3 linked regions of the Oryctolagus cuniculus genome follow. The protein of the gene in region 2 binds, or shares a complex with, the protein of the main gene of each other region. Links are inferred from orthologs where the notes say so. Each region holds a gene or a part of one and is shown on either strand. Other genes may lie near its edges.

Region 1 (4,339 bases), on a different chromosome or scaffold from region 2:
TTCAAAGGGGGGCTCGGGCCCGTCTGAGAGGCACCCAAACAACTGTCTTCTAATATTAGCACGGCTGTACTTCGGGATCTATTATAGTCTGTCCAGACAGATCCCATTGTAATGGGATCTTTTATTAAAAGATTAGCACTATCTCCTGCAGTTGGTGGAAAAAAATCTGTTATCACTGAGTTATTTGCAGTTGTGGAGGGGGTGGGAGGGGGGTGACGGAAGATGGGGGTGGGAGGGCCTGGGGAGGACTGGGGGAGGGGGGCGAAGGAGGGGCGGGTTTGAAATCCGTAGAACAAATCCCAGTGACCTGCGAATGTCCAAGAATTTTGTCTGCATACTTCGCTGTCTGTTGTCCTACGGGCTGGAGAAGCGAAATGAATAGCAATTTAAAAGGCAGCTTTGGAATAAACAATATAGCCTTTTCCGTGAAGTAATCGCTTTATATAAAAGGAAATATCGCCTCCTCAGTTTCATTCAGCGGTGCCAAAAATGTTATAAATGAGAGACCCGCCAACTTCCAGTGAAGAATGCCAGGCACTGTACTTAATAAACTGAGGCTACAGAAGTTCATTATCGATGTTGCAATCTTTTTTTATTCGCGGGGGGGGGGGGAGGGAGAGAGAGAGGAGAGAGAGAGAGAGAGAAGAGAGAGAGAGAGAGAGAGAGAGAGAGAGAGAGAGAGAATCGAGTCTGGAGCCGAGCTGGAGACGAGAGAGACAGAGACGCACAGGACAGAAACTAGGGGAGTCGCCGAGCGGGGAGGAGGGGGCAGACCGCCTACGTCGGCGCCCCCGCTCGGGGCTCCGACTCCAGACGCCCGGGAAGTGAAAGGGGAGAGAGAAGAAAAGGGACAGGGCGAGACTGCACCGGGGGGGAGGCCGTGTCTGAGGTGTTAAACATTTTTGTTTGCTACTCGTGGAGACCCGGGGCTTGCGTCTCCGCGCTGCTCCGCCAGGGTGGAAGGTGCCGGGGCCGGGGTTCCCAGCGACCCCTCAGGGCCGAGAGCCGCCGCCGCCGCCAAGTCCAGCACGCACAGACCCAGACACAAAACCTCCCGCCGGGTCCCCCGCGCCCAGGCTGTACGGGAGGCTGGCAGGGTCCGACCCCACCCTGAGCGAGCGAGGGCTCTCCAGCAGCCCGCGGCTCTCCCGGCGTCTGCAAAGTCTTTTGCCAGAGCCGAGGAGCGGAGAAGCAGCGGCGCGGAGACCAAGTGCCGGCTTCCCCGCTCGGCCCGCCGCCCGCTCCAGCGCCCCGCGGCGCACACCCGCACACACACACACACACACACACGCACGCACGCACACACGCCACCCCGGGCGCGGCGCGCTGCCCGCAAGCGGCGGCGTGCAGGACATGAAGTGGGTGTTCTTCCCCGCTCCCCACCCCCGAGCGTCGCCCCCACCCCCCGCCCCGGCCGCCTGCCCCCTCCCTCCCGCTCCTACGCAAATAAGAACTCGGCGATTCCCCTCCTGCCGCTTTGATTTCGGGCACCTCCGACAGATAACTGGGAAGGGTTTCCAGAAGGTGGGAAATGTCACCTGATTCACAGTGAACTTTTAAAAGCTCCCCACCCCCAAGGAGCCGCGCACACCCTCGCTCGAGGCCGCCCTCCCACAGCCCCACACACTGGGAGACCGCCCACCGCAAACCGCGGAGACCCCCGTCTAGATTTAAAGCGCGGCTGCGCCCGGCTTCTGACGTCCATTGAATCGCGCGGGCGGCCGGCTGTGAGCGCGGGGCTGCGCCCGGATCTCTGCGCCCTCCGCCGCTCGCCTCCGAGACGCGCGCCGCTCGCACCAGCCGCCCCGCCGCCGCGCCCGCTCCCCGCGCCGCCGCGCTCCTCGCCCCGCGCCTGCCCCCAGGATGGTCCGCGCCAGGCACCAGCCCGGCGGGCTTTGCCTCTTGCTGCTGCTGCTCTGCCAGTTCATGGAGGACCGCAGCGCCCAGGGTAAGCGAGGGGAGGGGGGGATGCGCTGGGCAGGCTGGGCTGAGGGCAGGGGGCTCTACTTTTCTGTGGTCTGTTCGCCCCAACGCTGCTCTTGGAAGATGTTGGACCAAGTTAGCGACTCCGCGATGGAGAGCAGTGGGGAAACACCAAGGCAGTGACACTTTGGGACCGGCAGCGGAGTTGGGAGCTCGGCTCTCCTTTAAAAGGAAAAGGAGCAGGCTGGAGTCTGCCTCAGTATTAGGGTTAGATGCTCCGAGTTCTGGCCGGGATGACTTGAGATGGTATCTCCGGGGTTGGGGACCAGCATCAGTAGTAGCCTGCGGATTTCGGCCGCCCGGTTTGCAGTCTAACCTCTGTGCCTCCCACGTCTTTTGGAGACTTTTTACAATGACCTGGGGCTGCGGAGACACTGAATTTTCTCCGGTGGCTTGGGGGACGTGGTTTCAGAAAGTTTGCCCAAACTTGGAAATGTGGGTGCTGAAAATTTTCGAGGGAAGTAGCTTTCTGCCTAATGGATGCTTCTTCCAAACCCCCTCCCCCAACCCCGCAAAAAAAAAAAAAAAAGTCAAATTATTACCCGGGAGTGTTGTGAGTTACTTTACAGTTTTTTTTTTTCCCTCTTCTTTGCTTCATTCCTCGGACTGTTAACTTTTTGTAAAACAGCGAGCAGCCCACAACTGATTTAAATGCTAAGCTGTATCAAGAGTAAATCTCTTAAGTTTGTCTTGTAAAAATAGCTGTTTCTTTCCATTAGTCTTGGGCAGAATTTTTAAAATAATACTAGCAGCCTGTGGTCCAGTTATTGTTAAAGTCTTACTTCCTGAACCAAATCTGGGTGTTAAAAGAGGGGAAGGGGGAGAGATTCCTTGCACAGGTTTCTTCGTGCTAGGTGGGAGCTAGGTGTACGGAGCCGGGACCCGGCAGGACGCTCGCCCCGGGCCGAGGTGCCCTGCCCGCGTGAGCGTGAACGTTTCCAGGGTGTGAGCGACCCCGCCGTCTGCACCGCCCTGCGCCCGGCTGCCCGCGTCCAGGGACGTGGGCGCCAGGGAAAGCAGCCCTCGGAGATTTCGAAAGCTCCCGGTGGCCGCGGGCGTGCTCAGGGGCGGCGGATTGCAAAACGGGCCCGTCGGGCGGGCTGCGCCTCGAGGCCGCGCGGGGCAGCTCCGGATTGCTTTTTTGCTTTCATTTTTCGCAAGTGCCTTTTTGCTTGATCTGTTCCTGCGCGTGCGTGCGTGTGTGTGTGTGTGTGTGTGTGTCTCCTTCTCCTCTCTCTCCCTCTCCTCTCCCGTTCTCTCACTTTCTTAACCCCTGTCACAAATAATTCCCGTGCCGCCTACATGAAACCAACATGTAAAAACATCCGTCGCATCCTGTTTTTGTCAGGTTCTTTAATCTGCCCTTCGAGTCGCTGCAGGTTATGAAATGGGACGAATAAAAGTAAACAGTCTAGTAAAAGTCAATGCAAGCTGCACGTGTTGTGTCTGGGTCACTGGTTAACTGACATTGATATGGCTGGGGCGCTCTGGCTTCTGCCTCGCCCTGCCTCCCCTCGTCTGCCCCCCACCTCTGGGATCAGGGCTTCCCCCCCTCCTTCCCAACCCCTCCACCCCCTCCTATTTATTTGCCGCGCGTCTCCCCCGCCGCGCGCCCTGCCCTCCCTGCACCACGCTCACCCCCTCCCCACGCCCGCCGTGTCGTCTGTGCTCGCTCGCCCGCCGCCTCCCTCTCCTCGTCCCCCGCCGCTCGCCGGCGCATCCACCTCCCACCCCCGACTCTTCACAGCTGGGAACTGCTGGCTCCGCCAAGCCAAGAACGGCCGCTGCCAGGTCCTGTACAAGACCGAGCTGAGCAAGGAGGAGTGCTGCAGCACGGGCCGCCTGAGCACCTCGTGGACCGAGGAGGACGTGAACGACAACACGCTCTTCAAGTGGATGATCTTCAACGGGGGCGCCCCCAACTGCATCCCCTGTAAAGGTGGGACTCTTCCTCCCCAACCTCAGGCCCTCAGCAGAGGGCGTCTTACCCTGGGCTTCCCCACTACCTACCTGGGGGGGGGGGGGGGGACTGGAACCAAGAGAGCTGTGTGGGTGGGCTCCTCCTTCCTACGCCCAGCTCTGAGACGCCATTGGGAGCCATTCCTGCCTGTCACAACTCTTCGCAAAACAGAGTCCGCGGAGGTCCCCGGACTTCTGAGCCACGTGTGGAGACAGATTTGGGTATGGGGCCCTGCCCCCCTCCAACCCACTAAAAGAGGGCCTGGGGGCTCCTGAGAACAAACTCAGAGCTACAGGATTGCACAAGGCACCAGCACGACCTCCGGGCTGACCTACGGACCGCCCGGCCCTGGTTGTAATCCCTACCTCTTTCCAATCCATAGAAACGTGTGAGAAC
Region 2 (3,592 bases):
CAGAGGGATGTGCATCCCACAACTGTAAAAAGAACCTGAGCCTGGCTCCAAGTTCATGGCCCATACTTCTCACAGGTATTTTCCATTCAGCAACAGGTTGGTGTGGTCCCGGGCCAATGATTAGAATCTAGTTACTGAAGTTCTTCCTCTTCAGGACTGAGTGAGAGTTCAATGTAGTAGCTAAGAGCACTTTTGTCAAGGTTGCATTCCTTGGCAAGAGAGCTCCTGGTAACTTCAGAGAGAACAAACTTTTTTTTTTTTTTTTGGTGTGTGTGTTGGGGGGTGGTGGTGGTGGTTCTTTTTATTTTATTTATTTTGGGAGTTCAGAGAGCAAAAGTCAGTACTCCAAAATTGACCGCCGGTTCAGAGTCCACTGCCCCCCAGAACTGGGTTTCTGCTGCCCGTGCGCTTACAGAGGGAGTTTCTAAACATAAAAAGTGACTGTCACTGACGAACACGCCCTGCCTCTCTGATGTGGACCCAGATGGGACTTTTAAAGGAGAAAGGGTTTGCTTAAGACAATGACTTCATCCGTGCCGGGGCACGCTCACCCCCTCCCCCATCACGAACTTCGGCTGGGGTCCGGAAGCCTCCTTGCTCCGCGAGCCCCCAAACCCGCCCCGGGCTCTCGTCGGGCCAGCGGGACCCGCGCCCCTCTCAGAGCGGCCTCCAGCGACAGACCGGCCCAAGAGCGTCCGCCCCGCGTGCCCGGCGGAGTTGCGCGAGCGCCAGCCGCGCAGCCCGGAGCCGCCCCTCTGAGAAGTCCTCCGGCCCGGGTCCCCGGCCTCCCCTCCGGCCGCTGCCGGCGCCTGAACACCGGGAGCCGCTCGCAGCCGGAGGGCGCCAAGTTCCTCCCGGGACGGTGGGAGCCGGAGCCCGCGCGCCCCGCGATGCCAGCACCCACCTGACTCGGCGAACGTAATGATCTCCGAGGTCTGCTCCATCAGCTCATTCAGTTCTGCCCTCCTCCCGATGTCGTCTTCGATCTCCACGAAGCCGTTCTCCCCCACCTTGCCGACGTGAAGCTTTCGGATGGCGTTCAGAAGCGCCGCCTTGGGCACCGGCTGCGTGACCTCGGGCCTCTTCTTCAAGTGCAGCATGTTTAGGATGTGCTTCTTGACCGCCTCCACCATCTCTGGCTGCGAGTTGGGTCCATCCTTGGGCAGGGCGGCCAGCGCGCAGGACGGGCAGTCGGGGGCCGCGCTGTGCCCCTCGGCTCCTGGCGTGGGGGAACTCCTCCCTATAATCCAGCAACTTGCCAACAGGAATCCTCGGAGCCAGAGCAAGGGCATCCTGGCAGCCAAAGTTGTTGTGATTGCCTTTTTTAAAGGCCCTGCGTTTCCTCCCCCCTCTCGCACAGGTTTTTTTTTTTTTTTTTTTTTTTTTTTTTTGGTAGTGGTGGTGGTGTGCTTTTTTTTTTTTCCTTTTTTTTTTTTTCTCTTTCTCCTCTTCAGCAAATTTTCTGGAACAAGAACAAAAAGTTTTCTGTGAAGTTTTGTTTGCAGGTTCCCTCTCTGAATGCAGTCAGTGCCGTAGGTTTGTGGCTGTCAGGGAGGAGAGTTCTGAGTGTCTCCGAGTAAGAGAGAAGGAAAGAGGGAGGGAGGGAGGGAGGGAGAGAGAGAGGGAGGGAGACACGGGGTGGGGGGGGAGACAGAGACAGAGAGAGGATGGGAGGGAGAGAGAGACAGGGAGAGAGGAGAGAGGGGGTGAGAAGAGAGAGGGAGAGAAGGGGGAAGGGAGAGGGAGACAGAGAGAGTGAGGGAGGGAGAGAGGGAGGGAGGGAGGCAGAGAGAGGGAGAGTGAGAGAGAGGGAGAGAGAGAGAGAGAACGGATTGGCCCTAAGTGAGTGAGTGAATGGGAGAGGGAGGGAGCCCGTGAGTAGAGGCTGTGATTAGGGAGGGAGGGGCTGCCTTCCCTGGCAGGCTGCTTCGCTTCTGCTCCCAGCTCTCTCACACACCTCTCTGCAAACAGCACCCTCCTCGGGCTCCTACTTTCCCTTCTGAAACAAATCCCCCTAATTTTGTTCACTTTTGGTTTTTCTCTCTTTGTCTGCCCCAATGCCCTGGCCTCGCCTTCTTCCTTTTTTGGAGGGAGGAAGAAAAAAAAAAAAAAACGCACGGTGTCCATCCCCTGGGAGGGCTCCATTCAAGTAGCGCCCCCCCCACGCCCCCGGGCGCCCTCCCCCCACCCCGACCTCGCCGCAGCCCTGGGCGACCACACGCCCACCTGGCGGTCAGGTGGGGCTGAGGCAGCCAGGAGGTCCGGCTGACAGGTGGCGGAGGTCGCGGGGACAGGGGCCCGGGGCGAAGGAGCGCCCGCGGCCCTGGACGGCGGGGCCCCGGGCAGTGCGGGGGAGACCTTCCCCGCTCCCATTCATTCCTGCGGAAGTGCTCGGGGTCGGCCCCGCGGGCGGGCGACCCGAGGCTCTGCCCGCGGAACTTGCGTTTCGGGCCGGAGGAGCGGCCGTGCGTCGCCGGCGGCGCTGTGCGGGAGGGCTCCGCGCGGCGCGCCCGCCGGGGCCACCTGAGGGGCTCCCCCGCGCCCCGCTTCCGCCGCCCGCCGGTGCCCTGCACGCACTCGGGCGCGCGCCTGCAGCTACCGCTGCGTCCCGACTGCACCGGGAAAACGCGAGATGCCTTTGGCCTTTCCCACATTCTCTTACAAAGGGAGCGCACTCCTCTGACTTGACTAACTGGCCCGAGGGGAACAGAATCCCCGAAATATATTGGCAAATTGTTTTTCTCTGTCACGTGGTCGTTTGCTCAGCTTGCCCCCAGCCCGTCCCGACCAGCGCGTGCACGGACAGCCTCCTCCAGGGCTGCTCTTTCCCTCAGAGGAACAGCACAGATGAAATCATCGTGGATTTTAGTGTTCACAGCAAAGGAAAAATGTGACTTCTTAAACAATGCCTTTCCGAGGCTTTTTTAAAAAAGTCTCCTTCCCTCCTCCCCCTCCCCTTTTTCATTTTCCGTCTTATTGCTTTTATCTCGCAGAAGTATCTTTAAGGGGTCCATCTGTTAAAGCTTCCCTTCCCTTTCTGCTGCTTTGCCACACAGAAGCCCTCGTGGTTTCTGGGGGTACTGTCAGCTTTTATCTGACACCCCGTGTGTTCGCAGCATTCTAGTTAAGCCAGGCGGTTTGGAGCAGAAAGAGTTAATGAGCACCTTCACTACAAGTCTAAGATCTGAGTGTAAAGAGGGAGAAAAAGCTGTCACTGAGTTAAAATCACAGCTTGCAGAGGTAGCAACGCTCTTCTGAATTGTCCACACTGCCCCCTTTTCCAAAAGGAGTCTCTGTGGCAAGCCATTCAACACCTTTGGGGTTGGGGCTCCAGAAACATCCATTACTTTGCTCTTATTGTTAAAACTTTGTCCACATTGCCTGAAAAGCCACCTTTTCTTCCCAGTGGGGGGTGGTGAGAGGGGACAGGAGAGTAGGGGCAGTTGTTAAAATGGTTTCATAAATCTCGCTGTACTATAATACTTAACATCACCCACCTATGTGTAGTCACAGACACGGTACCCAAAGCATTTTGCAGTGCCATTAAGTTTTACAAGAGAGTCCGAAATAGAGCTAAAAGTTGAATGGCTCC
Region 3 (3,592 bases), on a different chromosome or scaffold from region 2:
CTGCTAGATAACCAATTCTTAATAGCTGTGATTTGTTGAGTATACAGTGTGGTTATGTAAAAGCTGCTTCTTGAAGCAGCCATTGTACTCCACTCTGCAGGAGAATCATGTTTGCTTACTTCCTTTTTTGTCATACAGAATATTGAAAACTCTACTCAAGGGTTGAGACTTAATAAAATTAACAAATTGTGCTTTTCATCAAGGACATTCTTTTTTTTTTTAACTTTTATTTAATGAATATAAATTTCCAAAGTACAGCCCATGGATTACAATGGCTTCCCCCACATAACGTCCCTCCCACCCGCAACCCTCCCCCCCCACTCCCTCTCCCCTTCCATTCACATCAAGACTCACTTTCGACTCTCTTTATATACAGAAGATCAGCCTAGCATACATTAAGTAAAGATTTCAGCAGTTTGCTCCTACACAGAAACATAAAGTGAAAAATACTGTTTGAGTACTAGTTATAGCATTAAATCTCAATGTACAACACACTAAGGACAGAGATCCTACATGAGGAGTAAGTGCACAGTGACTCCTGTTGTTGACTTAACAAATTGACACTCTTGTTTATGGCCTCAGTAATCACCCTAGGCTCTTGTCATGAGCTGCCAAGGCTATGGAAGCCCCCTGAGTTCACTGACTCTGATCATATTTAGACAAGGCCATCGCCAAAGTGGAGGTTCTCTCCTCCCTTCAGAGAAAGGTACCTCCTTCTTTGATGACCCGTTCTTTCCACTGGGATCTCACTCGCGGAGATCTTTCATTTAGGTCCTCCCCCCCACCCCCCCCGAGTGTCTTGGCTTTCCATGCCTGAAATACTCTCATGGGCTTTTCAGCCGGATCCACATGCCTTAAGGGCTGATTCTGAGGCCAGAGTGCTGTTTAGGACATCTGCCATCTCATGTTGGATCATTCTCTCCCTTTTTTATTCTCTCAGCTAGTATTTGCAGACACTATTCTTGTTTATGTGATCCCTTTGGTTCTTAGTCCTATCATTATGATCAATTGTGAACAGAAATTGATCACTGGGACTAGTGAGATGGCATTGGTACATGCTACCTTGATGGGATTGAATTGGAATCCCCTGGTATGTTTCTAACTCTACCATTTGAGGTAAGTCAGCCAAGGACATTCTTAAGTGAAACTGGCATTGTCCAGAGAAATCTTTGGAAATATTTGGTCACTTCCCATTATTATTTTCATACTTAATATAAAGAGATTAACCTGAAGACCTAAACCCAAAATTGTAACACTGGGAAGATGAGATTTTTAGGAACATCTGAAGTTGCTATGTTGGAAGACAAACTCTTATTTAAGAGCTAATATATGGGGCCAGTGCTGTGGCATAGTGGATAAAGCCGCCACCTGCAGTTCTGGCATCACATATGGGCACCGGTTCAAGACCCAGCTGCTCCACTTCCCATCCAGCTCTCTGCTATGGCCTGGGAAGGCAGTACAAGATGGCCGAGTACTTGGGCCCCTGCACCCATGTAGGAGACCTGGAGGAAGCTCCTGGCTTCTGCTCAGTGTAGCTCTGGCCATTGCGGCTATTTGGGGAGGGAACCAGCAGATGGAAGACTTCTCTCTCTAACTCTTGCTTTCAAATAAATAAATAAATCTTAAAAAAAAAAAAAGAGCTAACATAATACATTGTTTTATTGTCTTATAGGTGCTATACTTGGTAGATCAGAAACTCAGGAGTGTCTTTTCTTTAACGCTAATTGGGAAAGAGACAGAACTAATCAAACTGGTGTTGAACCCTGTTATGGTGACAAAGATAAACGGCGGCATTGTTTTGCTACTTGGAAGAATATTTCTGGTTCCATCGAAATAGTGAAACAAGGTTGTTGGCTGGATGATATCAACTGCTATGATAGGTAAGGATGCATTTTATTTGTTAAGATAGTCTTAAGTAATTCTCATCACTGTCCCCTTTTTAAAGGAGAAAAAAAGATTATGAAGAGTTATGATATATTCTGTTGATAAAATATATTTAAAGAAGTAAGATAAACATGGTATACTTATATTTATCTTTGATATTTTTGAATAATCTAAGAAATGAGAATTTTTAGAAAAGAATCACTTTCCCTACATTGTTAGGTCTTTACTTTTTAATGGCAATTTTAAGGAAGAAAGGACTTTTAAAACCACTTTAAAAGAGAGTGTATCTGTTGGAAAATCTATCCTCTTGGAGAATAAAACCTAATTGTAGTATTTAATTTTAAGTTTCCTTCATTATGTATCTGGAAGAAATTGATTTTGTTACACCATGCCCCCTTTTTTTTCTTGTGGAGGAGGCCTTTGTTCTTTACCCCAAGAGACATTTTAACTTGACATTCAGAATTACATCAGAACACAGAGTCCCTATAGAAAGCTACATTTTATTTAATGTACATTGTTTGAGTTGTTTTATTCTGTACTGGAAATAAAATACAGTGGTCATGTTATTGACTGCCTATGTTCTCTCTGTAAAGAGTCCCATAGATGTTGGGCTGATCGCTTCAACTGTTTGGGCCACAAGATTTCCACTGCGGTGGGTGCTGAAGACTGACATTTGCACCCAGAAAGTGTTGCTGTATACACTGGATTGTAGATACTGTGGGTCTACTTTTAGGAGCCTGAATTGTTATCTTTAAATTGTGATTGGTTAGCTGTAACGGATAGAAAAATGCATTTACTGAGCCCATAAAAAATAGTTCTACTTTTGTTGAGAGATTAAAACAGTCATTTAGATATATATTTAGTTTTTAGGATATACTTTTAAGTCTGTGAGTTTCCCAGGGATTATTCCTCTATAATTATGTTTTAGCTGCATTTCTGATTAACCCCTCTACTAACAGAAATGGTCATCGGGTGATATGTGGTATCCTGAAAGGTAAATAGAAGAAATTCAGAGGGGAAGGGAGATGAAATTTGAGAGTCATGTTTGTCCAAAACTGTCTTCATGAGTTGAAATCAAGAATTCTTACCTTTTGTGGTGAAAAATTACTAAAAACAGTATTTCATTTATGTGAACTGCAGGCAGTGGTGAAAAGGGTACTGAGCCATTTTCCACTGGAGATCTGGATCGGGGAGTGCATTATTCAGTGCAAATGTTTGCTGTTGGAATGATAATTACTTCAACAGCTTTGTTTTGGGGGATTGAAGGCTGATTTAAAAATAAGTGAAATTTTGGTTTTATGCTCTGGTTTTGATTGAACAGTAATACAGATAGTAAGAGCAAGAAAAGTCAAAGAATGTCAATGTATGAAAGAAAAGGTAGTAATAAAAGATGAAATTGGATAGTGAAAGGTAATTCTTTTCAATTAGTTATTTAACTGTTCATCTACAATTTGAGGTGTGATTCTAAATATTTTTAAATTTATGCATTTATATTTATAAATTAATATTTAGCTTTGATTTGTTTTATCTTTTGGCAACTAGGTTTTTGTATACTCATAGGTTATATTTTAAAATTTCATTTGCTACAACTACTGTCTCCCTCATGTTTCTTGAGCTTTTCACTTAGGAGTTGAGTTCAAACTTATTCTAATAATCATCACAAAAGTTCACTTTATTGGTAAGATTGGTCTTTAAGTGCACCTGATGT

The links.
Region 1: the proteins of INHBA (region 2) and FST are in contact, whole or in part, in a crystal structure (PDB 2P6A), measured with the Homo sapiens proteins. The link is inferred for Oryctolagus cuniculus from reciprocal best matches to the Homo sapiens genes INHBA and FST. Residues at the interface, in NP_002183.1 of Homo sapiens: Asp315, Phe327, Asp337, Trp338, Ile340, Ala341, Gly344, Tyr345, His346, Gly360, Thr361, Gly363, Phe368, Thr371, Arg397, Ser400, Leu402, Tyr404, Asp405, Asp406, Gly407, Gln408, Asn409, Ile410, Ile411, Lys412; in NP_037541.1 of Homo sapiens: Trp33, Arg35, Val44, Leu45, Arg60, Phe76, Met79, Asp135, Glu152, Pro154, Glu155, Val180, Val181, Asp182, Gln183, Tyr188, Val190, Arg221, Thr224, Cys225, Arg229, Ser230, Ile231, Gly232, Leu233, Glu328.
Region 3: the proteins of INHBA (region 2) and ACVR2A are in contact, whole or in part, in a crystal structure (PDB 7U5P), measured with the Homo sapiens proteins. The link is inferred for Oryctolagus cuniculus from reciprocal best matches to the Homo sapiens genes INHBA and ACVR2A. Residues at the interface, in NP_002183.1 of Homo sapiens: Ile340, Ala341, Pro342, His346, Arg397, Pro398, Met399, Ser400, Met401, Leu402, Tyr404, Asn409, Ile410, Ile411, Lys412, Asp414, Glu421; in NP_001265508.1 of Homo sapiens: Asn36, Asp53, Lys56, Phe61, Thr63, Lys65, Val74, Lys75, Cys78, Trp79, Leu80, Asp81, Asp82, Ile83, Asn84, Val100, Phe102.

Annotation. Positions count from the first base shown.
Region 1 is NC_091445.1:74,276,643-74,280,981, forward strand, and holds the start of FST (follistatin), read left to right. Parts: upstream 1-1,474; 5' UTR 1,475-1,863; coding exon 1,864-1,948; intron 1,949-3,730; coding exon 3,731-3,922; intron 3,923-4,325; coding exon 4,326-4,339. UniProt on the Homo sapiens protein: Multifunctional regulatory protein whose primary function is to antagonize members of the transforming growth factor beta (TGF-beta) superfamily including activin, myostatin, GDF11 or bone morphogenetic proteins (BMPs).
Region 2 is NC_091447.1:31,701,719-31,705,310, forward strand, and holds part of INHBA (inhibin beta A chain), read right to left. Parts: intron 1,463-3,592; 5' UTR 1,293-1,462; coding exon 905-1,292; intron 1-904. UniProt on the Homo sapiens protein: Inhibins/activins are involved in regulating a number of diverse functions such as hypothalamic and pituitary hormone secretion, gonadal hormone secretion, germ cell development and maturation, erythroid differentiation, insulin secretion, nerve cell survival, embryonic axial development or bone growth, depending on their subunit composition.
Region 3 is NC_091434.1:94,321,493-94,325,084, reverse strand, and holds part of ACVR2A (activin receptor type-2A), read left to right. Parts: intron 1-1,672; coding exon 1,673-1,880; intron 1,881-3,592. UniProt on the Homo sapiens protein: On ligand binding, forms a receptor complex consisting of two type II and two type I transmembrane serine/threonine kinases.